7 separate regions of the Mus musculus genome follow, and regions 2, 3, 4, 5, 6 and 7 are each reported to be linked to region 1. Evidence: microRNA targets listed by miRTarBase, many of them from high-throughput screens and not tested one by one. Region 1 holds a microRNA gene; each other region holds the end of a gene's coding sequence.

The links. The annotated mature microRNA mmu-miR-410-3p reads AAUAUAACACAGAUGGCCUGU and lies in region 1 at 2,803-2,823, opposite strand. An mRNA with a match to its seed (bases 2 to 7 or 8) in the 3' UTR can be bound and repressed. Matches are read on the target gene's strand: a 7mer-m8 pairs with bases 2 to 8, a 7mer-A1 pairs with bases 2 to 7 and ends in A, and an 8mer does both.
Region 2: miRTarBase lists Lzts3 as a target of mmu-miR-410-3p. Seed matches in the 3' UTR shown: 7mer-A1 at 1,630-1,636.
Region 3: miRTarBase lists Nsd3 as a target of mmu-miR-410-3p. Seed matches in the 3' UTR shown: 7mer-A1 at 3,350-3,356, 7mer-m8 at 2,779-2,785, 8mer at 1,004-1,011 and 7mer-A1 at 963-969.
Region 4: the mRNA of Syp is a reported target of mmu-miR-410-3p. Seed matches in the 3' UTR shown: 7mer-A1 at 893-899 and 7mer-A1 at 878-884.
Region 5: miRTarBase lists Usp6nl as a target of mmu-miR-410-3p. Seed matches in the 3' UTR shown: 7mer-A1 at 1,987-1,993.
Region 6: miRTarBase lists Nupl2 as a target of mmu-miR-410-3p. Seed matches in the 3' UTR shown: 7mer-A1 at 3,127-3,133.
Region 7: miRTarBase lists Ttc17 as a target of mmu-miR-410-3p. Seed matches in the 3' UTR shown: 7mer-A1 at 2,780-2,786.

Annotation. Positions count from the first base shown.
Region 1 is chr12:109,742,280-109,746,586 of GRCm38, reverse strand. Mir410 (microRNA 410) reads right to left here and starts at 2,872; the gene lies at 2,792-2,872. It overlaps Mirg (miRNA containing gene), which reads right to left. Exons shown (of 8, transcript NR_028265.1): 4 at 4,297-4,307; 5 at 3,169-3,230; 6 at 2,740-2,921. Mir409 (microRNA 409) reads right to left here and starts at 3,429; the gene lies at 3,351-3,429. Mir412 (microRNA 412) reads right to left here and starts at 3,298; the gene lies at 3,219-3,298. It also overlaps Mir369 and Mir541.
Region 2 is chr2:130,631,247-130,635,553 of GRCm38, forward strand. It overlaps Lzts3 (leucine zipper, putative tumor suppressor family member 3), which reads right to left. Exons shown (of 5, transcript NM_197945.4): 5 at 1,519-4,218. The coding sequence ends at 3,520. Gm52563 (a long non-coding RNA gene) reads left to right here and starts at 4,196. Exons shown (of 3, transcript XR_003954061.1): 1 at 4,196-4,267.
Region 3 is chr8:25,713,923-25,718,229 of GRCm38, reverse strand. It overlaps Nsd3 (nuclear receptor binding SET domain protein 3), which reads right to left. Exons shown (of 23, transcript NM_001081269.2): 23 at 1-4,071. The coding sequence ends at 3,830. Among named protein-coding and RNA genes, the nearest start is that of Plpp5, 4.0 kb to the left of the region's middle.
Region 4 is chrX:7,648,549-7,652,855 of GRCm38, reverse strand. It overlaps Syp (synaptophysin), which reads right to left. Exons shown (of 7, transcript NM_009305.2): 6 at 3,969-4,299; 7 at 1-1,019. The coding sequence ends at 3,973. Among named protein-coding and RNA genes, the nearest start is that of Prickle3, 6.7 kb to the left of the region's middle.
Region 5 is chr2:6,441,376-6,445,682 of GRCm38, forward strand. Usp6nl (USP6 N-terminal like) reads left to right here. Exons shown (of 15, transcript NM_001080548.1): 15 at 1-2,445. The coding sequence ends at 367. Among named protein-coding and RNA genes, the nearest start is that of Gm13388, 5.9 kb to the left of the region's middle.
Region 6 is chr5:24,181,571-24,185,877 of GRCm38, reverse strand. It overlaps Nupl2 (nucleoporin like 2), which reads right to left. Exons shown (of 7, transcript NM_153092.4): 7 at 1,870-3,970. The coding sequence ends at 3,402. Among named protein-coding and RNA genes, the nearest start is that of Nupl2, 19 kb to the right of the region's middle.
Region 7 is chr2:94,298,259-94,302,565 of GRCm38, forward strand. Ttc17 (tetratricopeptide repeat domain 17) reads right to left here. Exons shown (of 25, transcript NM_183106.2): 25 at 2,508-3,609. The coding sequence ends at 3,478. Among named protein-coding and RNA genes, the nearest start is that of Mir670hg, 35 kb to the left of the region's middle.

The sequences.
Region 1 (4,307 bases):
CATCCTCTTAGGGTCTCCAATGAATTTGGAGTGTGCGTGTCGGTGGTTGCTTGGCACCCCAGCTGACATTCCATCTTGTACATAATACTCCCTTGGTGGCTGAGGTACCTGGGGCTTTCCCCATCGGTGATGCAGAGACTAGGGGTAGCCTATCTGTGGATGCCGTGGTGTGACTGCGCTTACACTGGAGCAATTAAATGGAGAGATCAGCAGCCTTCTTGCACGCGTTTAATATATTCCAAAGATGTGTCATTAACAGCAATTTCCATCTCCAAATGTTCCCATTTGCTTAGGTCCATGCATAAAATATTAGCCCTGACAGCAGCTCAGGCCTGCTGCACGAGGGCCTCTGAGGGGCCTCTGGCTTGCTGCCACGGAGACGTTCACGGAGTGGAGGGTGGGGGTTGTGCTCAGATGAATTTGAAGCCTAGCATGAGACCCCCAGCTACAAAAGTAAAGAAAAGCCCGCAGACATAGCTGACCTGTCTGTCCCCTATCGCTGTACGTCTCAAAAATCGGTGACTAGCTGGGGTGGGAGGCCTCTAACAAATGCAAAGACTAAGTGAACCCAGCTTCTATATTTATGGAATCAGCCACCACATCTTATGGAATTCCTGCTTCATGCTCACCACCTTCCTGGGGATTAACCTAATATGGTTTCTGCCTTTGGGGACTCTATTAGTCAATCAGCACACTCCATTATTCTGTCACTATAGACCTGGCCTGGATCCTAAGGCTTAGAATACAGCAGAAGATAAGTCAGGGAAGTAAGATGGGAGGGAGGGAAGGGGTAGGGAGTAAAACAGAGGAAAGAGAAAAGACGCAAAGGAAAGGTCCTCGTCTGCCTTGGGAAATCTTAAAGCTTTTTTCTTTTCTTTTCTTTTCTTTTCTTTTCTTTTCTTTTCTTTTCTTTTCTTTTCTTTTCTTTTCTTTTCTCTTCTTCTTTTTTTTTTTTTTTTGTTTTGTTTTGTTTTGTTTTGTTTTGGTTGGGGTCAGGGAGAGGCTGGGAACCAAGGTACTAGGCAGTTTGGGAAAGCAGGCACCTGGGGAGCCATAGCTGACAAGCAGTCTGATGTCATATCACAAAGGAAGGAGCTGGATAAGAGTGTCAGGCTGCCTGCACTGTCACTGCAGAGCAGGGAACACGATCCCCTCCGAGTCTTGAACTCCTGTGGAGGGGGCCTACAAGCTTGAGGACCAAGGAAGGGGGATGGACTGTGGGAGACAGTAACCAGGACCAACTCCCAGAGAGAGGGCGCCTGGGCAGACCATCCTGAACAAGAGAAGAAATCTAAAGGAGACCATGTGCTAGGTACAAGCCAGGGTGCGCAGCCACTATCTCTGTTGGAAGAGCATTTTGCTGCTGAGGAGGCCCAGAAGAGGAGAAAAAGCATGCAGGGTGGAGTTGCCAGGGTGAGGGTGCTACTTGCTCCAATGGGGAGCAAGCCCAATCAGAAAGAGCTCTTTGCCACCCTGGGGAGCCTTACTAAATACCAAAAATCTATAGCCTGTCTTTCAAAGGCTCCTACTGGGTGTGATCAGGTACTTTCTGGGGTCCTTGAGACTCTAGGTCAAGCCTCTACAGTAAGCTCACAGGAGTCTGACAGAGCCAGAGTGTTAAGTTGGAGGAAACATGAAGAAGTGCAGGCTACATTGGACACGCAGACTTTGTGTGCCCCGGTACAGGGGAACGCCAGGGCCAAAGGGGGGGAGTGGGTGGGTAGGGGAGTGGGGGTGGGTGGGTAAGGGGGACTTTTGGTATAGCATTGGAAATGTAAATGAGCTAAATACCTAATAAAAAAAAAATGAAAAAAAAAAAAAAAATAAAAAAAAAAAAAAAAAAAAAGAAGTGCAGGCTAATCCCTACTGGGCCCCCTGTGCTCGTGAAGCAGGGACAGAGCTTGGGTATCACTGCCTTGTAGACTCAGGAGGACATTCTGTGCTATTTCCAACAGGGTGGCACTGAGGACAAGACAGGCCAAGGGATGGTCTCACATACAGACTAGAGAGTCAACCAACACAAAGGCTTCAGTTCTTGGCATCAATGCCTCAAAGTAGAAATGGTCTAGGGTAGGACATGGTGCAGAGAAGTAGGCTGTGGGATAGTCATCAGATAGAAAACAAACGTCTCAGAGACAAGCTAGCTCAGGTACCACCAGCACGGACTCTACTTAGGATGCTTCTTCCTCTAAGATGCCCTTCTGGACTTCCCAACCCCCACCTCAGGAGATGTGAGGCTCTGGGTCAGGATGAGTCAGCTACATGCCTGACCATCAGTGGTGTCCAGTGGGTCAGCAAAGTGTGTCCCTCCCCTGACACCCATGCTCACACAGTAAGAGCCAATGATAAAGAGAGGTGACCATGCACTGTACCAGCATTAAGAATGGAAACCCGTCACGGGCAATCTCACCTCAGATACTAGGAACTGCACGTGTAACCAACTGGCCTGGCTCTTCCCTAAGTATCATGCTAGCCCCTCCAAGCCCTCATGGTATTGAGAAGCACCCAGGGTACAGGGCATTTGAGCATGCAGCCCTCGGTGGAAGCCTTAGACAGGGACAAACACCCATTGTTGTGGCGGGAAAGAGGCATGGAAAGTGGACAGCCATCCATTGCACATCTGGCCAATGCTTCGTGGCCCAGCCTACAAGGTTGGTGCGATCCCAGGAGGCTCCTCAGAGCTGAGGTTCAGTGAAGAGGGGGTGACAAGCGTCATACAGAGTCCATGCATTTACCTACCGGGCAGTGGTGTGACACCTGGTATGTACTGCCGAGTGACCGGAGTGGCAGGTGGTATTGAAAACAGGCCATCTGTGTTATATTCGTCATTAATAAAGCGAACTCATCACAGACAACCTCTCCTCAAGTACCCAGTGTTGACCGCAGCAACCCTGGAGCTGGAATCACCACCTGAAGCTGTCCTGGGGGGAAGGGGGGGATTGCATATAAATGGTGAGTAGGGTTGACACAGGCAGCACACAGCCTGTTCCACCCAGCCCAGTTCCCCGCGGAGGCAGCAACCTAGAAGCACCATGCTGTCCCCACCCCCACAGGGGCTGCAACTCCAAGAGCTTCTCCAAGCTGAGCGTTGATACTGAGAAAAGATCAACCATGTATTATTCGAAGTCAGCCAAGCGAATATAACACGGTCGATCTCCCTTCAAGTACCAGCAGAGGTGTTGAGCTGAGGCTGTGACATCCTGGGCGCAGGCTGCAGCGGGCACCGACGGCTAGTGGACCAGGTGAAGTACATTAGAAACAATTACTTTCCAGCTGGTCGACCATCCGTCCCATACCCCAGAGCGAGATGAGTCCATGGTCTTCCCTGAGGTGGCCTCCCTGGAGGGATTTGATACCGAAAAGGGGTTCACCGAGCAACATTCGTCCTCCAGATGCAAAGTTGCTCGGGTAACCTCTCTCCGAGTACCACGGAGAGGCTCGGATGCTCAGAACGAGGCCGATGGCTGAGTTTCCAGAAGAACCATCCTGGAGCCCCTCAGAGATTATAACTCCCCATTCAGTGAGGAGCCACCCTCCACCACGTGAAAGCAATTATTCCATCACCTCCCCAGTGCAATCTACCACCCTTTCACCTTCCAAGAATATCTAAAGCCTTCCCAGACAACCTTGAGACCCAGGTAGCGAGGAGCTGACTCGGGGCAGAAGTGGGTGCAGAACTCTGCTTACTCTATCTCTCCTTTGTAAGCTGGAGATAGGGAGATGCTGAGACCCTGCGCATATACCACACCACCCTCCCAGAGACGATGCCTTCCAGAAGCGAGGAGGCAATGACTGCATCATCCAGAGATGCTCCTCCTTGGGCCCACCCAACCACTGCAGCCCCACGACCCTGGCATCCCCGCCCTGTCACCTGCCCCCTCCCCCCACGGTGATGTCATAGCAAGAACTGCTTGACCATCCAGTCCTATAAACCAAGCAAGTAATGCTTCAAAGATAAACATGGAGGGAGGAGAGAAAGAACAGCGGAAGGAGATCCCGCAGGGTCCCCTTGTGCCAGTGTGTATGGCTGCCCCGCACGAGCACGCCAGGGAGGGCTCTCCAGTAAGGGTCAGGATCCATTGACTTAGGCCATAAGCAGAGTATGGATTCTGTGTTCGCCACTCATTTTAAAACTCTTGGAGTGTGACCAACATCAGAATCCCTTCTCTGATTTTGGCAAGAGTTCACACAGGCTTCTAGCCTTGCTGCAGGGCAGCAAGAGACTGGTCACATGCAGTGTGTCATACGGGGAAAAGACGCCACGGGCAGCTTCATGTAGGTGTTCTGGAAACTGACCTGTGGGACAG
Region 2 (4,307 bases), not on the chromosome of region 1:
GACAATCTAGTTTCTCTTTGCAAAATGCTGTTTCCTAGTCTCCTATGAAGTGGGAGGAGCTTATAGCCCACCTCTAGTCAACAGTACTGGAAAGGAAGAGTTATTGCATGCTTCTAGGACTTTCTTGGCTTGCGCATATGGAGGCCAGAGGTCACCATCAGGCAACTTCCTCAATTACTGTCTACCTTACTTTTTGAGACAGTGTCCATCACTGTAACTGGAGCTCACAGATTCTGATTGGATGATTAGTAACAGACCTAGTGGCTCCTGTGCTGGGGTTACAGACAGAACAGGCTTCAGGGCCTGCTCTTATATTGTTGTTGCTGATACAAATTCAGGTTTACATACCTGTATGGCAGGCACTTTATTGTTTGAGCCATTTCCCCAACACCCAGGAAAACTTTTTTCTTTTTAAGGTATCTGTATAATTTTTATAGGTTTGTTTGTTTGTTTGTTTGTTTGAGACAGTGTCTGACTGAGTAGCTGTTCTAGAACTCACTCTGTAGACCAGGTTGGCCTCAAAGATCTGCCTGTCTCTGCCTCCTGAGAACTGGGATTAAAGGTGTGTGCTACCACACCCAGCCTCAGGAAAACCTCCAATATCACGATGAACTGGTGCAAATCAATCTTCTCAAAGAGCTGGGATGCTCTGTGGCAAAGAGGAGACAGGTTGAGTGGATAAGGATGAAAAAATCTAGACTCTAGCTCAATTGTTCTCAGCCTTTCTAATGCTGTGGCCCTTTAACACAGTTCCTCACGTTGTGGTGACCACCAACCATAACATTCTTTTTGTCACTTCTTCATAACTGTAATTTTGCTACTGTTGGGAATCTTAATGCAAATATATGATAGCAGGATATCCAATATGCAACCCCTGGGAAAAGGTTGTTTGACCCCAAAGGAGTCAAACCCACGGGAGTCAAAACCCACACATTGAGAACCACTGCTTTAGATCCACAGAGAGCCAATATCTGTGATACCTACTACTGGACTTGTTGGGTGAAGGGAAAATAAACCATGTTTTAAAAGTGGTTAGATATGTTTACTGAACACTCCGTTGTTTTTGTTGTTGTTGTTGTTGTGAGGCTTTGTGGGGTGGACTGCAGGAAACCCTGTAAAGGACGGATCACCATTTTACAGCATGCCTGGGTCTTTTGTCATTATTTGAAAACCCATTCTGTGATTCCATGCTAATCACTGGAGTGTTCAAGTGACTGCAGGCTGTGCCTAGCTGCCCATATCACCTGCCTTCTGGGTAGCAGCCTAGTGTATGGCTCCTGAGCTAGTCAGCTGGTAACACTGCTAACAGCCTGAACTGAAGAGAGAACACCCCCATTGGTAGGAAAGGTGGAACCACAATTCCTGGACAAGCATGGAAGACTTGGGCTTTGAGCCAATCTCCTTGCATAGTACAATGAGTAACTCTGGTCCCATGCCTCCTCTGGAGAAATATCTGTTCCAGCTTTGCCTGCACCCCCCAACCTTACCTCCCGTACTTGCAAAGATACAGGCTGGCCACAGAATTGCCATCCAAGAGGCTTTCTCCATTTTATTTCTTTGGGAAAGGAAAAATGAAAACTCTTTCCATCACATATGGTAGATATATATATTTATATATTTATATATTTATATATAATTTATTTTGCAGTTGGACATTCCAAAGCTGTTCATATTTTTCTCTCCCCCCATCTCTTTTGTTTTGTGTTAATGCCTTTTCCCAGTCACTGTGGACCAGGCTCAGGGTCTGAATCACGTATTGTGAGGGATTAGAAGAATGGGCAGTGGTTGCCAGAGTAGCCGCCAATCAAGGTCAAAACCCTGCTGAGGACCACCCAGAAGGAGCTGTGCAGAGAGGTGGAGACTACAAATAGGGCACTCCTATTTTTGTGGGGGATGCACAGCTTGTTAAACAGTCACCAGTCATGGGAGGAGGCTGGTCAGGGCTTGGGGGACTTGCTCACAGTAGTTACCAACCCTCTCCCTCCTGTCCCCAAGATTCCATCTTGGGGTGGAAGAGAGAGTGAAAAAGAGAAATACAAGGACTGAGGGCCAAGTCTCCTCTGATTGTTATTGCTGGTGAAGTGGAAATTTACTTTCTTAAGAGAGAAATTAGAATTTCCCTGCCTGTCTTGGGGAGATAGAATCTGAGAGATCCTAGAGAAGGAAGTGACATTGACTGTCACGACCCATACTGATGACCATACCAGCCAACCCTGCCCGGACAAATGAGCCAACTCAAGAGTCTGGCAAGCAACCCAAGGGTCAGTAGTCCTCCCTCTCTCTCTTTCTCTCTCTCTCTCTTTCTCTCTCTCTCTCTCTCTCTCTCTCTCTCTCTCTCTCTCTCTCTCTCTCTCTCTCTCTCTCTCTAACATACACACACACATTAGCCTTGTTCCTTGAGGGCAGTCCCATCCAACTCGGACTGGCCCCTCAAAGCAAGGGCCCCAGGCTCAGACTTGGGCCAGTGGAGCTGGGGGTGAGCAGTGCACCAAAAGCCAAGCAGAGCTTTCTGCTGGGAGGAAAGGTGAAACTTGGAAGAAAAGGCAGCCTGGGAAGATGTGAGTGCGAAAGGAGGCCAAGGGGAGAGATCGAGGGAAAACACAGGAAGACATCAGACATCCATCCATCTGACCTCAGAAACGGGCAAACAGAAGACCTAAGAGGCAGGTATAGCTATAAGCAGAGCTGAGCAGTGACCCTGGATTTGGGGGGGTCAACCAAGCAGCAGGGGATGTAGCCTTGTAGGATCCTGGCCAGAGGGTGAGGGTGGGGCTGAGAAGCCTCTAGGTGACCCTTCCCGAGGGTAGGAAGGCAGATCTCCCCTTGGGATTGAGTTTCCAGCCTCTGCTCTCACTTCCTCACTATACACAGAGGGACACATGCTCAGAACTAGTCCAGGCTCTGAGGCTGGAGCCCAAGATACCTTGGTGGGGGAGGGGTCGGGCAGGTAGCCCTCTCAACCACAGGCAGGCCATCTGCTCCCACTTCCCCTGCCAATCTGCCTGGGGAAGGAGAATAGCACATGAAGGAGAGAGACTGGGAGCCTAGGGTCTGTCGACACGGGCAGACCCATGCAAGCTCCCTCAGGCTGTGTGGCCTAGGAGGGCACAGACAGTAGCACTGGACAGATGGTGGTGACGGTGGTGGCGGCGGTAGCAGCCCAAGAAGGGAAAGGGGCTGGGGTACTCCCTGGCAACGCAGGCCTGCTGCCTCTATCTCCAACACGAGGCTTCCCCAGAAAGGGAGCCTTGCTCCATGCGCCTGGGACCTCACCCCATTGTACTCTGCCCTCTCCCATGCTCTCCTTGGCAGGAGGGTCTGGAGTGGTCACCCACAAAGGCAGTGCTGGAGCTGCAAGGACGGGGGACAAGTGGGGGGAGGGGCTGGTCACAGCTGCTTCGAGAACCTCTTTGGTCTGGGGATGTGCAGCACACGTGGGGAAGGGAGATGAATGGAAGGGACATTGGTGACTCCGACCTTCAGACAGGGCACGTGTCAGAAGGTTGTGCACGTAGAGAATCAGATTTCAGTGGACTCGATGCGCTCCAGGCGGGAGGGGGTCCAGGCTTTCTTTTCCTCTCCATGCTGGGGAGTAGGCGTGCTGGACCCCCCTGCTGCCCCACGCTCCCGAAGTCGCCGCTCCAGCTGCTGGTTGCGCTGATACATCTCCACATAACTCAGCTGGAGCTGTTTCTGATACTCAATGACCTTCTCCTTCTCCTCCAACCACACCCGGCGCTCCTCCGCAAAGCTGGCACCCTGGCGCTCACGGGCACGCCGCTCAGCAGCCAGCTCAGCCTGCAATCTCCCCACCTCCCTGCGTAGGGCCCGTGTCCCACCCTCTCCTCCAGCCTCCACCTCCCCATCAACAGAAACCAGAGAAGCGGCAGCCGCCACGCCAGCCTGCCGGCGCATCTTGGCCTCGTCACTCTCACAGGAGGCCAGCGCCTCCTGTGGCTCGACCAGGTCCACGGGGGTCAGCGCAGGCTTGAGGCAGGCAGGGGGCAGCTCGCCTTCACTCAGCTCCAGGCTGGCCTGTTTGCTGCCGAAGGAGTCCCTCAAGCTGAGCAGCTGCTCCTCCTTCTCCCGGAGCGAGGCCCTACCCTCCCGAAGCTGTGAGCGCAGCCCCACGATCTCACTCAACTTCTGCGACACATCGGCCTGAGAGTCCTTCAGTTGTTGCTTCAGGAGGGAAATCTCACCGGCCTTCTGGCACACCTGGACAGGGGCAGGCGGAAGCAGAAGCCGGGGTAAAGGCACAGCCGAGGTAGTAAAGACTTATCACTACCCAGCTCCCAGATCTATCT
Region 3 (4,307 bases), not on the chromosome of region 1:
GGACTGCATATCTGACAGTATACAACATGATGCTTTCCATGTCTTAATTTTAAAACTGTAAAATATAAAATGAGAATCTGAAGTCCCAAGGAATTGAAGAGCCTGAATTCAAATGGGGTGGGGGGGTCTCGGTGTTAGGGGAACTGCACTGTACCTTTCCCTCCCTTTCTCCCCACATTCCCATTCCCCCACCCAAGGTGAAAACTGTGACACCTCAGTCCATACAACAATCCACTGCAAAGCTGCCTACACGGATCCCTTCGTCCATCCAAGGAGGGACCAGACCTTTCCGTAACCAACCATTCTGTTACAAATAAGCAAAGACCAAGTGTGGGCGGTCCTTCCTGAGGACCTTGCCATCCGATCACTTCCACGCTGCCCTTAGCAGCCTGGCAGAGTCCGGGATGGTCAGATGCAACAGCCACGTGAAAAGCAATTCAAGTCTAGAAATGAAGCAGTGCCTTGAGAAACATAAAGACCATACGCTGCTCACGCTCAGGGAGACTGAGGCAATTTGTCTCCCTCTCCCATTAGGGCATGGCATGTGGTTGGCAGCATTTTAGCTCCGTGGGGAAGTGCTGCAAGAGGAGTGTTGTTTTGACAAGATTAGCGGCAGGTCTTGGAGAGCCGGGTCTATGTTCTGAACAGATAATGGGAGGACTTCAAACTGTAGTCTGGCTTTGACCCGAAACAGTAAGAAAGTACTCAAAAAAGAAGCCACTGCATAAAAGCTGCCTACCAGTCCAGCCGAGTATTTCACATGAGCAGACAGACCCTCAGTATCTCAGATCCATATTAGTTACACACACTTCCGCAAACACTGCAGTGGGAGACACTGACAGAAGCAGTGGGCTGCAGGCCCTTATTATCTCTTTAGTTTCAAATACTTCCTAACTCAGTATGTATGTGTACACACACACACACACACACACACACACACACACACACACACACCACTTATATATATAAAACATTTTATATTTATATATATATATATGTTATTTATATAACGCACAGAAAACTCAAGTCTATTCTACAGCTTAGGAAAGGTAATTTTTGAGAATTAAAATAAGAGTAGGTAGGGCTTGCAAAGCAAAAGTGAAGATAAAACCTACTCCACTCTGATCCCCACCCTGACTGGAGACTGAAATCAGAGGTTACTGCAGCACACTGGCAGTGACGAGCACTGGTCCCATCCTGCTTGGCCAGACACAGGCAGCTACCCTGGCGGCCCAGCGACACCTACAAGGCACAGTGCTTGTGATGGTCTCGTGCTATCATCTCTAGCTCTTTCCAGCCCAATTTCTAAAGCTTTCCACTGATAACCAGAACTCTCATCTTCCTCCTGAGGTTAGGAAATACCACTAGTATCCCATGCTGCTTTGAGTCCTTTATTTCTGGGCTGAATAAAATCAACCACAAATGCTGTATACCTAAACCATATTGAAAAGCTACCACCAAGCAGCTTCAGGCTCCGAGTAAGCACAGTGCCTTGCAATGTCACTGACACAGGACATGAAACGACCGACGGTGTACGTATACTTACACCAGTCAGCCAACGTTCTGCTTCCTAACCCTCAGTTCTAAGACCCAGGCTGCGATGATGGCACAGGCAGTCGCCCTTGCACTTGGCTTGGAGCAGGCAGGCTTCTGAGAGCAAGCCTGTTAGTCATCTAGTAGGAAAAGATCTGAAAAGTGCAAAGTCCTTTTATAGATATAAAAACAAGCGAGCCATAGCAGAGAAGCAGGAGAGAGATAGGTCAGGGTAGGGTATTTATAAATACATGATGAACCCTGGGGCTTACTCTATAAAAGTTATCAGATACTAAAAAGCACGAGGTCAAAAAGGAAACAAGATACAATCTCATATCGGACATTGTTCTCATGAGGGTTACATTTGGAATATCAAAGGAAGTCGCTTATCAACAAGTTTAAAAAATGTTATGTCTGTATAAAATAAAATTTAATATGACAAAACCCAGATACTCTTACATTATTGTTTTAAAGGACATCAAACTTCATAATTGCTCAAGAGCAGAGAGTTTAGTGTTTGCGTGGGCTGTGCTTCGTTCGAGTCGGTCGTAGGGACTGCACTGGGTGCTGGGTACCGTCCTGTCTCCCTCCTCACAGGAGCTTGTCTAGCCAGCGGGATTACCACAAGTGCTAGACTAGGTAAATGGCAGTTCAGGAGCTTAGAGAGGAACTGTAGTGTCTGTTGCCTATAAATTGCACATTTATATATATTTAAAAAAAAGAGGCACAAAATTGCTCTTTCTTTTGTCCAGAGATGAGGTCTGAATTGATTTGTAAAAAACTAAAAAAAGGACAAACGCACCTAACATAACTACAGGGTGTCATAGAGCATCTCGTGCCCTACGTTAGTAAAGTATAGGTTCTTGAGGAGAAGAGAGCCTACTGGGTACCTCCAGTAAGCAGTTGAAACACACTGAGGAAGTTCATATTTCATGGTAACACTAGATTTTTATTTAGTCTAATGTTACCATGTCTGACATGATTTCACACAAGTAATACTGGACTAGATCCTAAGTGCTAGATGCAAGTGAATTCTGCGGGCCGACGCCTTGGTATGCTTGGGTCTGTACTATTCAAACCTCACAGCCATGTTTGCAAACACTGACTTTGTGGGGGGCGGTTTCAAGTGCTTTCTACATGGAGCATCTCTGTGGCTCCTACATACCCTGTAAAAGAGCAAGTTCTTCCCCTTATGCAATGGGGACAGTCTTAAGTATTGCATAATACTAAGTAGAAATGGTTCACATATAACTTAGGGATGTTTCTGTCCACTTGCATCATCCCTAAGTTAGGAAATCAACTGAAAAAGTCTATTTCATATAATTCAGATTCAGTTATATAGCTTTACCAGGAAACATGACTGAGTGACCCAGCTGGCAAAGGAAACATGATTGGCAGAGGGAAAGACAGAAAATAAAATGCCCTTAAATTCCAGGTTAGACTGGAGTCTACATTAAATTGGTCAGAAAATGGTGCATATATGATCCAATGTTTGGTCTGTGCCTTATCTTTCTTTAGCCTCTTGCCAGTGGTCAGGACAGCAGGAATGAGCATTCCCCTATGTATTCACATCCCTCAAATGTTTCAGAAAATCACAATGAGTAGAATGCACTCACTCCTTGTCCCTCTAAGATATTTCTACGTAGAGTTGGCGCACCATGAAGCCCACCCAGTTTAAGACCACAGAGGTAAATGCTGTCAAGGAGTTTGTTTTCAAGAGGCCAGTCTGAATACTTGCTGAGAGCCTTCTCTGACCCGAGAAAAGGCCCGGGAAAAAGGAAAGAGAAGTTAGCCACTCTATGGCTCAGGAAAGAGGTATATAAAGGTGACAGTCATGCACGCTTGCACACACACGCACACGCGCACGTACACGCACGAGCACTCATGGAGGTTAGATTGTTTGAACTACACTTCTCAGAATACCTAAAAATGAAAATAAATACAGGAATGACTACTTTCACTTTACATAACCCGGGAGTACATCTTAGGCTTTACACTGATCGTATAGACAAAACTTTCTTTTAATTTTCTCTCTCTCAACTCTAAAAACAAGGACACCTCTTTTGCTGATTGCAAAGACACTGAAGCACAATGAAAGGCAAGAAGAGACCAAGGGAATTTTGCTGTCCACAAAATTATCCCCCAAACAACAAAATAGAAAACCCAGACACCAGCAAGTGCTTTAGCCTGTGTGAGCTGGCGCCCATCTCCGTCAAGGCGGACTGACGGCAGGGCAGGGCAGGCGTGGCCTCTCTGCGCCTCTTTACTGAGAGCAGTGGGAGGAGGTCACCACCGCTCACTCCTTTACTTCTTCTCCACTATCTTGGGATTCCCATTTACATCTGATCTTGCTCCAGTATTCTGGTGACACAGGAGATGCAGGGTCGTGGCTGGAGCAGCAGAGACGACCTTCTAGTGCAGAGGGCACCAGAGCCCCTTTTCCATGAGCCTTACAGAATGAGTGTGGACAGAATTCACAGAAGGAAACGGCTACACTGCCACACTCGTCACACCGATGCCACGGGCACTCCCACTTTCCTAATGCAGGGGTGGGGAGGAGAGGGAAGTATCTGTTAGCTGATTTCTTGATTACCCACCAAAAACCCAAGAGGTACCCCCTCCCCTTTTTGGAGACAAAGTCTCATTGTGTAGCCTGGCTGCTCTGCCACCTGTTTCCTAAGTGCTAGGATTAAAGGCATATGTTATTAACCCCATTTTGAAACAAGGTCTTTCTCCAAAGTGTAGGCTGGCCTCGATCCTCTGGCCTGTGCCTC
Region 4 (4,307 bases), not on the chromosome of region 1:
CGTTCTGGGGCGTGGGGTGGAATCAGGAGTACTCCTTCCTACTTTTAGCAAAACTCACCTCACAGCTCCCAACCATGGCCTCCTACACCCACTGCTCAAACTCCACTCAACTGAAACCGTATTTTCTTTTCTGCCCCATTACAGAATGGGCTTCCTCTTCTGAGAGCACCACACATCCCTCGTCCTCTTCACCTGCCTGTCTGCAATCCTGACCAGAACCTTCTCTCAAGCTTAGATCATTCCCGAATCCCACTTCTAGCCTTGCTCAAGCTCTTTGGAATCAAGCTCAAACTCCTGAATGTTCCAAGACACACCCCTTCTAGAGATGCTGGATCCAACCCAAACCTGCCCACTCCGGAACCCACCATGTGTTTAAGCCACACCCCTCCTAGTACCCCTCTCCCCAGTCCCTTTTAGCCCCATTCCAGAATGGTGTAGGACACCACTTCCCTTTTAGGCTCCACATCCAGTATGTGTGGAATTCAACTTTTGGCTGACTGGTCCTCTCTCTACAGAGGCCATCTCCTCTCCACCCATTTCATCCAAGCCACCTCCACCCCTCTACTCTTGGGGTTGAATTTCCATTTGAGAGCTTCTTAAGTTCAGGCGATGCTGGAGGAACCAAGGCTAGAGTTAGGAGGGGCAGAGGGAGAGAAGGAAGGGGGAAAAAGTCACATCGACCCACTCCATGCAGCCAAGGTCTGGCCCCCTTCCTGTCCCCTTTCTAGAGCCCCCTTACATCACGGGACAGGGCTGGGGAACCGATAGGGGCTGAGGAGTGCAAGGTCAGGGGTAGGGAGGAGCCCATTCAGGACTGGGCCCCTAGTGCATGGAGGAGTGGGTGAAGGTAGGGCTCAGACAGATAAATAGATATTTATATATAATATATATATATATAAACAGCAAAGACAGGGTCTCCTGGGTTGAGGGGTGGAGACCTAGGATATGGGGATGGGAAGGGGGGCAGGCCTTCTCTTGAGCTCTTGCCCACCCGTGGGGTCTTCGTGGGCTTCACTGACCTGTAGAGAGAAAAGAGAAGGGGTCCAGGTGAGGGCAGAGTCTGAGCTCCCAGAGGAGGGCAGTACCCTCAGGAAGGGATTGGGCCGCTAGGCTTTTTCTTCTCCAACAGGTCTGGAGTCAGCGCCATCCTAGCTGCTCTCACTAGGAAGATATTACCAACCCTGCTCAAACAGGGTACCAAAGGAACGGTTAAGGTCCCCTCTCTTAACCAAAATAGCCCATTAACCAGTACCGTTCTAGTCACTGTTGAAAATCCACATTGAGAAAAAAAAAATCCCTATCTCTGTGAGGTTTACATCATATCAGGAAAGGAGACAGGTTTCACAATGAACATGACATATTAGTAGATTATCAAATATAAGACGATAATAGGCCATGCATGATGGTGCACACCTTTGATACCAGCACTCAGGAGGCAGAGGGAGTTGGATCTCTGTGAGTTTGATGCCGGCCTGATCTACACAGTGAGTTCCCGAACAGCCAGGGCTATGTAGAGAGACCGTGTCACCAAAAAATCAAAAAAAAAAAAAAAAAAAAAGAAAAAAAATCCCTAAGTGAGCCTGTAGAGATGACTCAGGAGTTAAGAATGTGTGCTGCTCTTCTGGAGGACCCACATTTCACTCACAGAACCCACACTGGGTGGGTTACAACAATCTGTACATTTATCACCAAGGAAGCTGACCTTTCTTCTGGACTCCATGGACATTTGAACTTACGATTAAATAAAAGAATAAAAAAAAAAAAGTACTCTAAGTGATATATGGGTAGCACGAATGAGTCTTAGATCTCCAATCTAGTGTAATATATGAACCACAAATTAGTAAATTACAAATTGTGAGAAGGAAAAACATAGGGTATGATGCGAGAGATAACAAGCGGAGGTGTTTTAGACAGACAACCTTTGATATGTAGCTGGTGGTATATACCCGTGCCAAAATTTAGGAGGCAGAAGCAGGAGGAAAACAAGTTCAAGGCCAGCTTTGGTTCCATAATCGGACCCTAACTCAAACCAAAGCAAAACAGGGAGGTAGAGGCACTGTCGGGAAGTCAAGATCAGCTTTAGTGACCTAAGGAGCTCCAGGCCAGCCTTGGCTACAGGAGATCTTGTCTCAAAAATACTATCAACAACTAAGTCAGGTGTGCTGGTGGGTGCAAACCTATGAGTTCCAGCCACATGGGAGATGGAGACAAGAGTACTGCAAATTCACAGCCCACCTGGGTTATAGGATGAGTTCCAAATTGATCTGGGCAATTTAGTAAACTCTGTCTCAAAATAAGAAGTAGAAAGAGACTGGGCAGTGGTGGCGCACGCCTTTAATCCCAGCACTCGGGAGGCAGAGGCAGCTGGATTTCTGAGTTCGAGGCCAGCCTGGTCTACAGAGTGAGTTCCAGGACAGCCAGGGCTACACAGAGAAACTCTGTCTCGGAAAAACAAAACAAACAAAAAAGAAGTAAAAAGAGGCAGTGTTAGAGCACTTGCTTAGTGTGCAAGAATTCAAGTCTCAGTACTTGTAAAACAAAGCAACTCTCCCGACAGCCAGCCAGCCAGCAAAAAACCTCATTGAGTGAGTGACCAAAGCAATGGCTAGGGAAAGGTGTGTATGTAGAAAGCAAAAGCAAAGGCCCTGCAGTGCACCTAGACCTGGCCCGGGCCAGTTTGCCCGAAACAATGCTAGGAGGCGAAGGTCACATTCTGTCTGTGGGGAAGATAGGGCAGTGCTGCATTGGTGGGCCTGGGCGCACACTAACATCGTTTTTGCTTTTAAGTGAGATGCTACAACAGACAGTGAGGGAAGGACAGTGACTTCTGAATCTAGGCCAGTGGCCCAGCAGAATCCTTGAGGCTGCTGGGTGGGTGGTAGAAGGGGTTGTAAACAGGATAGAAGACAGGCACTTGGGAAGCACTCTAAGGAAGATAATTGTGAAAAAAAGGAAAAGGCTGGAGAGATTTTGAAAATAGGAACCAACAGGACTGGAATCCCCCCCCCCCCCCCACACACACACAGGGTCTCCAAGCAGCCTGGAAATTGCTTTGCAAAACAAGAGACCTAGGCCTGTCTCTAATTCCCCCAGAGCTGTGCTTAAAGGTGTGTCTCAGAGCCTGTCCAAGGAGTTTAAAAACAATTAAATGTGGGTTGCTGTAGAAGGCTCACCCAGGACCACATCTGCTCCCACCTAGATGCTGTTACCGTCTCTGTTTAAGACAGGATTGGGCTATACTGACCACGCAGGACTCGAGAACTTGCAATCCCCATGCCTCTACCTCTCAAGTGCTGGGATTATATATGTGCTCCATCACACCAGGCAGGGTTTTTTTTTTTTTTTTTTTTTCGCGACAGGGTTTCTCTGTATAGCCCTGGCTGTCCTGGAACTCACTTTGTAGACCAGGCTGGCCTCGAACTCAAAAACTCCGCCTGCTTCTGCCTCCCAAGTGCTGGGATTAAAGGCGTGCGCCTCCACCGTCCGGCGGCATTCATTTTTTAAAGGCCCAACAAAAAGGCATACTCGTGTTTCTAAGGCCTCCAGCCCTCCCCTTTTCCTCATTTGAAATTCCAAACTCTCTCTTTCATTAAAGGGTTAAGGAGAGGTAGCAGCTGACCTACATCCTGCTTTAGCGCTAGCGCCCTTCAAAACCCAACGTGTTTACCTTCTTCCACCTACTGGCGTTACCGCCTATTGGTTTACCAATGATTTCAAAGACCCTCCTCCCCTTCCCTTCCTGGAAACCTACACCACTTTGGTGATTCTCCACTGCGCAAGTGCCCCTACACTCCTTTCATTGGTTACTCTGAGCACTGCTCCGTCCCCTTCCTTCTCACGGTTCCTCTCATTGGCTAGTTTTACCAAGTTCACCTTTTTTTTTTTTTGGTTCTGCCTATCTATTGGTTCCTTCAAACTTCACTCCTTGTATGCTCCCTGCCTACCGCATCCGCCCAGTTGTCACTCACCAGATTACATCTGATTGGAGAAGGAGGTGGGCGCACCCTGTTGGCCGTAGCCTTGCTGCCCATAGTCGCCCTGAGGCCCGTAGCCACCGCCACCGCCGCTGGCTGGCTGCCCGTAATCGGGTTGATAACCACCCTGAGGCCCGTAGGAGTCCTGGGGCCCATAGCCTCCGGGGCCCTGCCCATAGCCCGCATCGCCGTAGGCATCGCCAGGAGCTGGTTGCTTTTCTGGGGCGCCTGGAGGTGCGCGCATGAATGGGGCGGCCCAGCCTGTCTCCTTGAACACGAACCATAGGTTGCCAACCCAGAGCACCAGGTTCAGGAAGCCAAACACCTGCAGGG
Region 5 (4,307 bases), not on the chromosome of region 1:
CTACGGCAGTTCGGGGTCACCAAAGAATGGACAGTTCATCCTTCCTCCGGTGGACTATTTGCCAGAGAACAGAAAATGGTCAGAAGTTAGTTACACATACAGACCGGAGATGCATGGCCAATCATGGACTCGGGATGCTCACCGTAGCCACTTAAGCAATTTACCAAACTATGCAGCCTTTCAGCACATACCGTTTCAGGCCCATGGCCTTCCAGAAGTGTCTGTAGACAGTCCAGTGAGGTATAAGATGTCTGCAGCTGTGGAAGATGCCAGTCCTCCTGGGTATCCATATGCAGGGCCCTCACCTTCCGCACATCACTACAGAAATGGAGAGGGACTTTCTGTGCAGGAATCAGTGTTGCTGTGAGCGTGTGGCTGTATTCACTGACAAGAGAATAGAAACAATATGCCCACATTGCTATGTTTATAATTGCCAGAGCAGTATTTTTTATATTGTAAACAGCGTGCGCAGCTCAGTGTGTGTCAGTGATAAGAGTGTGGGAAGGCTTCATCCTCTGCAGAGGCTGCTGAAGAAGAGTGGGTCAGCTGCATCCTGGCTGAACCTTTAATAGGGGACCCTGGGGACCCAGCAGTAGCACGAGGGCTGCACACACAGGGCGGCTCTCTGTGCTGGTCCCTTCGTAGCTCCCCAGACCCGCTCTGTTCCGTTGCTGTTAGAACAGTAGACTACTGACCGCTATAGAGCAGATACTCTGAGGGCCGACCCTCGCCTTTTCATAGACAGACGAGGCAACTGCATATAGGTTTTGTCTTTAAAACCACCTTTAATCTAGATACATAGACTAACAGTGGATTTTTTTTAACCCTTTATCTTTCTGCCCACCCTGCCCAAACATATTTTAACCCAGGTTCTAAACTGAAACTGACTAGAGATGAATCCAGCGCCTGACAGAATGTCATTCTCCTTCAGTTGCTGCCATTTTATCTCCTCCTGAAAGCTAAAGGCTCACCACTTGATGGTGCCTAAAGTGGGTCGGTTACCCGAGTGAGCGGCTGCACAGTGCTCACTGAGTCCCCTCATCTCCAGCAGTCTTGGTGCTGCTGTGCCCCGGGCTCTGGTCTGGCCGGGTGTGAGGGAAGTCAGACCTTGCAGGGCCCCAGGCCGCAGAAGATTGCATTTCACAGTCGTGGGGAAGCAGCTCTAACCATAAGGAAGGCTGCTTCTCACCCTGCTTCCCCTTCTCACAGGCTTTCTCTGGCACTCGGTCTTCACAGAGCACAGTGGGTGGATACTGCTAACACTTACTGGGCCCCGGTCGAAATTGTGAAAAATACCCTAATGATTAATAAGGAATTTTAATCTAGAATTTTGATCTTTGTAAAAAAAGGGGAAAAAGGGTAGTTTGTTTCATACTTTTGGAATTTTTTTTCAGTGAAAAATAACTGAAGTTCATGGTTTTTAAAAAAGGTGATGATTCCTTTTATGCTATCACACACTACTGTCACCGAGACACTGACAAAGTGCTGGGTTCTCCAAGAGCGATGGCGGCGTCTGTGTAGGTGCTCGCCCACCGTTACCCTCTTCTTGTATCTGAATATCAGAAACTAGAAAGTCCAACAGTGACACTCCCCCTGCTCCAAGGTGGGGACTTAAGTTTGTGAGGTACAAGAATATGTTTTCATGAAAGTAACATTGTTTATCTAGCAAACGTGACAATATTTTTATGTATATAATGATTCTAATCTAAGTTAATTAATGTGGTAATGATGTTATTAAGTGTGGAAGCAAATGCAGTATATTAAAGGTGAACACCACACTGAAACTCCCAACTCCTGACAGAATAACCAGGCTCTTGATTTAGATCATGTGGAAGGTGAGATATAAATGTATATAGACATGTAGCTGAGGATATTAATTTCAGTCTTAAAGTGTGACTTGTAAGGAGCCAAGCTGTACAGTTTAGTTCATGATGGCAGCTCTCTGCCTCTTCAGAAAGTATATATCATAGTGGTAAATAATGTAGATTATATATATACATATATATATATATATATGCTATATATGGACACACTATTTTCTTATGTCATCTATGGCATTTTTTTATCTGTATACTTTTTGATGTGGTTGATTGTTTTTAACATGCTAAAAGTAATCCGTGTATTTTGTTCTGTGTCTTCTGTGTGCAGCTTCCCCGTGGCAAGTGTGTCCTGGCCTTGCAGGGCCTGGCAGATGCACCACGGGCTCACCAGCAGCGTTTACCCACGCTGTGCTTCTCTGCTTGCATTTCCAGGGAGACCGTGTTTTGAACCGCATCACCTTTCCTTGGCTTAAGCATTCGTTACTAATGGCAGGAAAGTCTTCCCTTCTATAAGATATATATCTCTGTTAGCTTCAAGTAGGAAATTTTAATTTAAAATTATTTTGCCACTATAAAATTTTATTTTAAATTTATTTTTAAATAAAAGAAATGATAAGAGAAATAATATTGACAAAGTGATTCAAAATCTATTTATAGAAAGGCTTGCTGGGGACATTCCAGGCAGATGAGCAGCCATGCCCCATAACGGCGTGCCCACAGTGGCCGGGCCATGGCTTAGGCTTCCCTCATGGTCACTTTGCCCATTACGTCAGAAGTAAGTGTCTGGGTGTGGTAGTATAAGTTTCTTAAGGAATTGTCCTGCTGACCTGTATCTAACTAATGAACTTAAGGGTCTGGGTTTTTTTTTCTTTTGTTTGTTTGTTCATTTTGTTCATTTGTTTGTTTATTTTGTTTTTAATTATCAAGTCTCACCCCAGACCACTTAAATCCTATCTTTGGTAAAACGCAGGTATCAGAGAAGCATATTTCCCTTGTGTCTCTTAATACTGTCATCTTGAAACTCTCTCTAGGAAAAATGCCCAAGTTGTCTTCTGTTTCTATTGTGGGATGTTTAAAAATGGTTTGTTGTTGTTGTTTTGGTTTCTGAAGACAGTATTGCTATATATCCCAGTCTGACCTTACTGTGTGTTTGAGGCTAACCTAGAAATTGAGGTGGAAAAAAAAAAAGGCCGGGCGGTGGTGGCTCACGCCTTTAATCCCAGCACTCGGGAGGCAGAGGCAGGTGGATTTCTAAGTTCGAGGCCAGCCTGGTCTACAGAGTGAGTTCCAGGACAGCCAGGGCTACACAGAGAAACCCTGTCTCAAAAAAAAAAAAGAAAGAAAGAAAGAAAGAGAGAAATTGAGGTGACCCTCCCTCAGCCTCCAGAGGACTGAGATATGTGTGTGCACCTCCCATCTCGCTCAGCACAGGGTTTCTGTGGGATGAGTTTGATTCTCTTGTTCTCACTGCTGAACTGGTGTTTAAAATTCTTCGCAGGTCAGAAGTTTGGGAACTCAAAAGTGACATCAGGAAAGTTAGGAAAAAGTCCACTGTCAACATTATCAGCTCTCCTCATTTCGAGCTATCTGCTAGTCACAGCTGAATAGCTTTGAGGAAGGAGGTGTGGCCCCCTCACACCCAGACACCCAGACACTTAACCACTCCTGCAAAGCAGATAGAGCCTTCAGTTTGCCATTACCCACTGTGGTCTGCTTTTCAGCCTAGCAATTTGAGCTCTCAGCAGTGAGAAGACCCCGCCCTGCCTTCATTAGAGCTATCAATACTGAGTGGCTAGAACTCCAGGGACTGTGTGGGTTGCTCTGTTTTCTTACTGGAATGCCTTCTCCGGAACTGTTGCGGTTTCATTCTCTGTCATCAGGGCTATTTTCTACAGACCTTGAGCCTCAAAACCTGTTCTACCATTGAAGGAGAGGAAGATTGAAGTTGGCTTACATTTCTACAGTGTTAGGGGCGTAGGAGAATTGGGGCCAACATCCCATCAGAAGATTCGTGAGTCAGTGTAGTTTAGTGTCAAAGCAGCTTGTGTTGGGGCGTGTGGGACTTGAGGATTGGGGATTGACAGGTTTCATCATCGGATAGACATTTGGTTATCCAGAGAGAATTGGTAATTTGCCAGCGTAAGGGACCCAAAGCCACCAGTGAGTACATGCCCCAGAGATGGTGGCCAAGCAGAGCAGTCACCCACAAGGCAGAGTTACTCGTGAGAAAGGGCAGCAGTGTTGTGTGCATCTGTCAGTCAGGTTGTATGGGCTGGAGGCTGGCAGGTCTGCATGGTAGGCTGAGTTTGCTGTCCAATAGCTGTGTGACTTTGGGCAAGTCCCAGTCACCTTCCTGGCCTCACTGTCCTCAGCTGTAACCTGGGCATTTGAGAGGTACAGGCAGAAGAGAAGACAATCATGGTCTGATTAGTTGAGTGACAGGAGTTAACAGTGATAGTGGTTTGAGCTTTGTGTCTGTGACTCTTG
Region 6 (4,307 bases), not on the chromosome of region 1:
TTTCTTTCCCACTAACTCTGGTTGGCGGTGGGCTAAAAGGGAGGTTAAGATGTTTAAGAACCATCATTAAAAGTAAGATTTGAAAGAATTAAAAGATACAAGAAACAACGTAAGTGGGACGTTTTGGCTTTCAGTATCAGCGCATGGCAGGGAGTGCACAGTGGAGTCATTCATATCAGGGCAGCCAACAAACACAGGCCTACCCTACCGAGACACTTCCTCCAGCTAGGCCCTGCTGCCTCATGGTCCCACAACCTCCTACCACACCAACAGCAGCTGGGGATCAATACTGTGGGGAAGCTGGACCAGGGGGCATCTAACAAGACTAGGACTAGCCATCCAGTTTCTACTCAGTATTTTCAGTTATACTCACAATGGTATAAAAACCTATGTCTTAGAATCCACCAATTTAGTATTGTCTACTCACAATTGGAGCTATAGTTAAATCAGTTAGCAATGGGCAATAGCCAGATAAATCTATCTGCTATTGTCTTAGTGTTTTACTGCTGTGAAGAGACACCATGATCCTGGCAACTTTTATAAAGGAAAACATTTAACAGGGGCTGGCTTACAGTTTCAGAGGTTTAGTTCATTATCATCATGGTGGGAAGCATGGCAGCGTCCAGGCAAGCAGTGCTGGAGGAGCCAAGAATCTTGACCTGAAGGCAGCCTGTCTTTTGCAGACAGACTCTGACTCCAGGCTGGGTGGAGTTTAGACATAGAAGACCTCAAAGCACAGTGACACACCTACTCAAACAAGGCCACACCTAATAGTGTCATTCCCTGTGGGCCAAGCATTCAAACACATGAGTCTATAGGGCCAAACTTATTCAAACCCTCATAGTTACTAATATGGAAAGTTCTTCAGGATGCTTTGTAAATAAGATACAAAATATGATTCCTCATAATACTATTTCTCAGTGTAGTTATCAGGATATGTATAAAGAGTACCACTGGAGGGGTGCGCATGTGGTGGTTTGAATGAGAATGCTCTGGGCCCCTGCCCCCCACTCATATTGTTGTAATGCTTGGTTCCTAGTTAGTGAAATTGTTTGAAGATTAGGATTAAGAGGTAATGGTGTAAAGCCGGGTGTGGTGGTGCACGCCTTTAATCCCAGCACTCGGGAGGCAGAGGCAGGCGGATTTCTGAGTTCGAGGCCAGCCTGGTCTACAGAGTGAGTTCCAGGACAGCCAGGGCTATACAGAGAAACCCTGTCTCGGAAAAAAAAATAGAGAGAGGTATGGTGTAGATATCCATTAATTCTCATGGCCATCCAACCATCCCCCTGCCCCTCCCCAAATCTGAGGGTGAGGAGGCAGGGGGCATCTCCAGGAAGAGACAGAGACCTGGGATAGGGGAGGCACCCAAGAATCAACAGGGGTGTCTTTAGCTATGATTTAATGTGGGTCTGCATCCACCCTGCCTCAGGGTACAGCCACAGGGGAGGTAAGACATGGGATGTGCTTGACTGTTTTTCCATGCAGTGTGCTGGGCTTCAGGGAAGCACCTAGATACTGCTCTGAGGGTGAGAAAGCAGAGTCTGAGATGTGGGAAAGCTGGAGCTGGCTCGGCGGTCCCCAGGACTGTGACAAGGCTGGGGCAGTGGGGTTCTTGGACTCTTGGGAGTCACAGAAGAGCTGAGAACGGAGGAGTGTGTGTGTGTGTGTGTGCACGGGCTGGGGACAGCATCTAGGTGAGAGCCTGGGGAGGAAGGGAAGTGCCAGCTTGTCTCAGGGGTGATTGTCCTTAGCTCAGTGGAGGAGGCTGGAAGTACAGAGGCCTTCTACCTGAGATTTAGCTGCAGCGGCTCTGTAGCAAAGACCTGCATGCTCCCCATGGTGGTGGTAGATAACAGACAGTCCATGTTTATCTATATTGTTTATTGGATGTTCATTGTGGAAAGTGGATGCATACCGTACCATACCCACTTCTCAGGGTGGACTCCAGATTAAATAATGAAGTGGAAATTTAAGGGTTCTTTGGAAAATTGTTTGGATGATGTTTTGCTGGGGCAAACATGAAGGAACGTTTTTGTTAAAGTGGACACAGGTGTGAAAGGCTAAGGCAGACTCGTGACGGCATGTTTCGCTGAAGCAGACACAGGAGAGAGGATGCTCTGCTAAAGCAAGCACGTGAAAGGACACGTGATGGAAGATTCTTTGTTAATGACACGCATGTATTGGTCCGCCTGTCATTGTGTAGTTGATCTGCATTTGCTGGACTCCATAGAAGAGCAACGCCTCTGATGTTAGATGGGAATCACACTTTAAAAGGGTCAGAATATGGATCCCGAGGGAAAGAATGCTCCGCACTGTTCATGAACACCTGGAGTGCCCATCCTTCAATAGGTAAGCCATTTGCTTGAGTTTTTTGGTCTACTATACGCATGTGTGTTTGTGCGCAGGTGTGTGTGATGGCCAAAGGTTGGTGTTAGGTGTCTTCCCCTATCATTTCTCCATCCTTTTGACAGGGTTTCTGGAAATGGCTGGTCAGCAAGTTCTGGGCATCTACCTGTCTCTGCCTCTTGAGTGCTGGGGAGACAGATTCACGCACTCCCATGCCTAAGTGCTGGGCATCAGCTTGGGTCCTCACATCTGCATATCTCTGCAGCCACTGCTCCACCCACTCAGCGGCTCCTTCCACGTTTGATTTTCTCCCATGTAAAAGGTGAGGGCTTGGGACTGGAGAGGTAGATAGTTCAGAGGTTAGGAGGACTGCTGCTTCAGAGGACGAGAGTTCAGTTCCTAGCACCTTTATATGGTGCCTCACAACTGTAACCTCAGCTGCAGGGAATCTGACCTCTAAAGGAACCAGGCATGTACGTGGTGCACAGACACACATGCAGGCACAAGTCAGAGTTGGGAGACGGAGTTCCTGTCATGCAGGAGACACTGTACCTGGGTTTGATCTCCAGAAACCACTGTTCACATCCCTATTTAAAGGGACAGAAAGTGGAGTAGAATGAGAAAATTACTTTATTCAGTACACTGTACTGTTTAGTTCCACTCGTAATTACAGTACAAAAGAGTCCCTTGCTTATTGACTTTTTTGGCTATCCTTTATTTAGCTGGGTGTTTAGAAAAGTTAAACTTTAAAATCCCTCAAATTACTGAAAGCTATATATATATATAAACGTATTCAAGTCAATCTCAGAAGCCATAGTTAGGGAGGAGTATGGGTCAGGTAGAATCCGCCTGGCCTGGGTGAGCCCAGCCTGATCTGCAGCACTATAAAAACAGGGCTTTCAAAGCCATTCAGAGCTTTCTCTTGGAGGTCTCTTGTTCACTCTGTGCTGTCCACACTGGCCTGAATTTGTGGTGTTCTGCTGCTCAGCTTCCCAGACTGTAGGCATGCAGGACATGCCTGGCTAAGGCATTCTTTCTGTATTTAAACCTGACCTTTATACAGTCAGAAGCTCGACCGGTGGCGGCTTCAGTGGAATTTTTCCCAGGGTAAATCTCTGGGATTGAAACTGCTCCAGTTCTTCCTTCATCAGCTGATCCCTGGGTGTGAACAGTGCGTTATCAGCGGCACCGGAGGCTAGGACAGAGGTAGATATGCCGCTACCTCCAAACACGTCAGTGGAAGGTTTAGCAAATACAGCCTGAGAATGTGGGCTAGGACTGCCAAAACCAGCCACAGAACTGCCGCTTCTCAAGGGAGGGGCTGTTGTAGAGCCAGAGGGACTCGCTGCCATGGAGGCTGGAAATCCCGAAAACCCAGGTGATGCAAAACTGGAACCTTCAGGGCTCTTGAACGAAAATGATGCAGCAGACGTGGCTTCAGGTTTCCCAAGTCCAAAGGCTGGAGTGGAGGAAGAGATGGAGGAGCCCGCAGAGGGCCCAGCCCCAAAGGCTGGGTGACTTCCAAATACTGAAGTGCTTCCGGAAGGAGGAGTGGCAAGTCCAGGGCTTGTTTTAAAACTAAAGTTCTGAACAGTACTGCTGCTGCTGTTATTCACTGGGAAGCCTACAAACATAGGTTACAGTCAGAAAATGTGGCCGTGCCGCTCCCTTCTCTTATTTCAGACATGTGTAGATATTGAAGAGTTTAGGGACACATGAAAACAAAGTTAAACCGACCCTCTGAGTCCCACTGCCCTGTCACGACTCATGCGTCCATGCGAGTCAGAGTGGGTGTGCGCTTCGGCTTGCCATGCTTTTCAGCAGAGCAGCCTTGTGACTGCTGTGTGCTGACAAAGGTCTCAATGACACTCCTGCCACACTGGTGTGCTCCTATCAAATTCCTGAGAGCCTTGCTATGAAGGCCAAGCTTGCCTTAGATGTTTGATTCTTTACTGCAGCCT
Region 7 (4,307 bases), not on the chromosome of region 1:
TACATTGAGTTGACAATTAAAACTAACCATCTTAAGGACTAACACATGGCTTATATTTTCTGTGTCTCTGAGGATGTTGTATATGAACCAAGGATGAGGAAATCAGTGGCAGTGGCCTGCCCTCATGGTTCCCGATCCTTGGTTTTTAGGCTTGAATTTGAGTCAACTTTGGGACTCTGTGGCATAAAACTTTCTCCAGCTTACAGAGAATAGATTGTGGGACTCTAAGAGTCAACAATCGCATATATTAATTCTGTATCCTAAATTCTGTATGTGATCTAGAGAAAGAAAATGGTGAGGTGAGCCAATTCAGAGGTGCCTGAGGCAGAAACATGGTGGGCATTTTATTACTGTCAGGGTAGTGTGGCTGGTGAGGACTGAGAGTAAGAGTAAGGGGACAAGGGGAGCAAGCAGTTCGGATAGATTCTTTCCTTTTTTGGGGGGGATGGAGTTTACATCTTATTATCATTTTTAAATTTTATTTATGTATGTGAATACACTGTCTTCAGACATACCAGAAGAGGGCATCAGATCCCATTACAGATGGTTGTGAGCCACCATGTGGTTGCTGGGAATTGAACTCAGGATCTCTGGAAGACCGATCAGTGCTCTTAACTGCTGAGCCATCTCTCAAGCCCAGGATTTATATTTTATAAAATATATAATCAACAAACAGAAGAACTCATGCCTAATGGACACGAAAAATACCAATTTGAAACATAAGTGTGCTGAAACTCTTTAAGTGGCTAAAAGATTATGCCCTGCAAAATGAGATTATATAATATAATCTGGTGGATACAGTTCAGAAAACTAGCTAAAAAAAAAAATCTTCCCAGTGCAAAAAGTGACATGAAATAAAAACCAGATTGGTTAAAATGGTAGATTTGATACAGCTGAAGAGAGAGTTAGTAAATTGGAAAATAGAATGGAAGAAATCCATCAATTTGAAAACTTCCACAGGAGTTTCTACTGTGGGGTTTTTTAGAGCATGTCTCACCTCCCAGGTTAGAGTTACTGTGTTAAACAGACATGCTTCAGAATCAGGGTTAGCAGGAAGGAAAGAGTTTCTAGAACTAGGGAAATCCTACTAGCAGAGTGAAGGCCTGCGCTAATAAGACCTAACACTATTGACTAATGTGTGGCTATCTTTACTCCAAGGGCTTACCTGGGTCAGGAGCTGCACATGATCAGAGATGGGTGGCCAGCATCCTTTCCAAGCCTCTGCTATTCCTGTCGATTTAACCTCCCCTATTCTTTCTAGCTCCTGTTCTCTGGCATTTCTTCTTCCCGATGTCACTATTGTTTTCTGTAGGATTTATAGTGTGGCCTGTTTAACACTAGTTCAAAAGTTTTGAGCAATAACTTAGTTATGGGCCTGTTTGTTGTTAGAAGAGGATGCAGACATTGGTTACACACAGGAGTTAAGCACCTGGCAGGAGAAAAGGGGATCAGTTCATGTCAGTGCCGTGTGACGAATGTCACTACATGATGGCATCTAGGGAAGAGAGCTCCAGAAAAACAGTAGAACTAAGTGAGACTGTGAGAACTGGCAACCTGGGTAATGAGAAAATCTGGCCTCAAAGGGTGGAGGGGGATGTATACATGATGTAATCTTATTTCCACGACACTACAGAAATGGCACAACTATAGAGACAGAGAGGAGGCCAGTAGTTGCTAAGGGTTAAGGGCAGAGGCGGTTTGCCTACAAAGTATCAGTGGGAGAATCTTTTCTGGGTGGTAGGAACCTTAATGTTACTAAGTTGTGGTGCGAGGGATCAAGCCCAGGGTCTCATACCTGTGAGGCAAGCGCTCTGCCACTGAGGTACACTCCCCAAGCCCACAATGGACTTTCATATTCTGCTTCGGAACTTCAGGACTTGTGAGTTCCCACAGGGAACTCGCAGAATTATACACCACATCAACTTCATCGTAAGCTTCAAAGGCCAATAAGCAATTGTTGAAGATTTCTGGAAAACTGACAAAGTGTGGTGGGGTAGGGAGGCAGGATGTTGCTTAGATACTTACTGCAGGACCCTTCTGAGCAGAGCCTTCCTTACTTTACCCAGACGCAAATGAGTTGCTGGTTAGTCTACAAACACTTACCAAAACTGCAACTAGCTGGACTGTGCCTGGATTCTGTGAGCCAATGTTAGGGATGGCCTGACAATGTTGTGGGAAACTCTGTAGAATGCTGCCCTCAGTGGGGCCTCACCCCAGGGGTGACCAGTTGGTTTTGTGAGATATTTATTGGGCGGATGTGAGGCTCAAGGCTGGCCCGAGGAGTCAGGAGTCACAGCTCTGGCTTTGACAATGCTTCCTTTTCCAGGAAGGTCAGTCATACCGTGAGTTTTGCTGCTGCTGCTGCAGCTTCCGGTCAGATGTTTCAAGCTCTAAGTTTATTCCCTCCTCACCTTGATGCTGTGGGATAACCCAGGAATTACCTAACCAGGGGCGGGGTTACCAGAGTCCAGATTAGCCCATAATGGAAGAAAAACTACACCACGGAATGATTTTGCTCATAAACAATTTTTATTTTTGTTCTCAGGATGTGCCCGTAAAGAATCCAAAATGTTGGAGTTTTTGATTCTCCAGGGACCAAAGATGAGGGCACTGTATGGGACACCCAACCTTGGCTCCTGGCTCTCTTCTGAGGAGCTGGGGTGCCAGCCTCAGAGAGAGGGCTGACAGTCACGCCTAGTCCAAGACAGGAAACACAGCGAACAAGGAATTAGTAACACAGACTCAGTCTGTAGAGGGCTTCAAATACACATATTCTATATATATAAACCTGTTATATAGGACTTCAACATATTGGTTTCCTTGTGATCGGCAATTAAAATACAAATGATAAAGATGTTGCACATGGCTGACTCCCCTGCTCAGCCCCCCTCCCACCCCAACATAAATAACTTACAAAGGTCAGCTGACCCTAAGAGTTTCTGCTGTTGTAAATATTTCGTTTGTAAAGTTGTTTCCCCTTCCTCCCCTGCAAACTATCTCTGAGAGCTTGTAACATAGCAGCGTGGAATGGACGAGACTGGGTCAGGGAGGAGAGCTGGTGGGGACGTGGAGAATCCCTGCTTCTCACTGACTGGCCCCGGGCAGCACTGCGATTCCAGGGACAACGGAGGCTACACAGGAAGCAGAGAATGGGCAGCGTGGCTCTGGCCTCCCCAGGGAAACGTCTGGACCACAGAGGAGCCTTGAAGGCATGGAGGTTTGGAAGACAGAGCGGAGCTCCGAGTTGTCCTGGCTCAGTATTTACAGTGTCTGGGAAACCCTGTTTCTGAAGATGCTTCTTCGGAGGGCGGCTGGGGGAGGAGGAACTTAAAACCAAGCAAACCCAGCTGGCCCTGCAAGGCCAAGCTCTGCTACATTTTACTTGGCAATTCACACACATCATCCATGCGGGTACCAGCAGTGGTGGGGCTCTGTTCTGACGAGGGCTGGGAGAGCCGAGGGACAGGAAGGAGTGCTCTAGGGAGAGCGACGGCCCTTCTTCAGCATGAGGTGGCACTGAATTGTCTGGATCCGGTTCTTGGCGGGCACAAACTCTGGCTGTAGCTTCAGCGTTGACTCGTACCACACCAGGGCCTTCTCAAATTCTTCCTGTGAGGGATAAGGAGCAGATGTGAGGGACGACACTACCTGACTAAACATGGCTGTGGTCAGGGACAACCCACCATGACTTTGATGTGGATTTAAGTCTGTGGACAGCTGAGGTGTGAGGCGACGCAGTATGTTTCATCCCAAGGGCAGAAGAACCACAAAGCAAGCAGTGGCTGAGCACATAGACAAAGCAGAAAGCAGAAAACTGGCCTCTATTGGCTTGAAATATGCAGTAGCCATCTTAAGAGCCACTATTACCTGGCCTTACAACATCCTTTCCATAGGCTTCCTAAACCCCTAGACAGAGGCCTGGCGAATCTCACTGTGTATCTGCTTTGATTTTCTACCATGTCCAGCATGATGGAGCTGAACTTGGGCAACTGTTAGCACTGTATGAGTTCAGGATTTTTTTTATTTTTCCAAATACTTAAAACATTTAGAGATGATCAATGCTATATCTAGCACATAACTCTCTTAACTCAGACTAATTCTACATAGAAGAGAGCAGGACAGCCTCAGTGGCTTTCTCACACAATGAGACAGACTTGTTCACTCACAGCAGCAAATTTCACAGTTACTGGGGATAAAAACAGTCTTCAGTTTTAAGAAACAGGAGAGGCTGCAATTCAGCACCGCCAGCCTGGCCAGGACCCGGTGCCTCAGAAGTCAGGGATGACGCACACATAGCTTACAGCCCA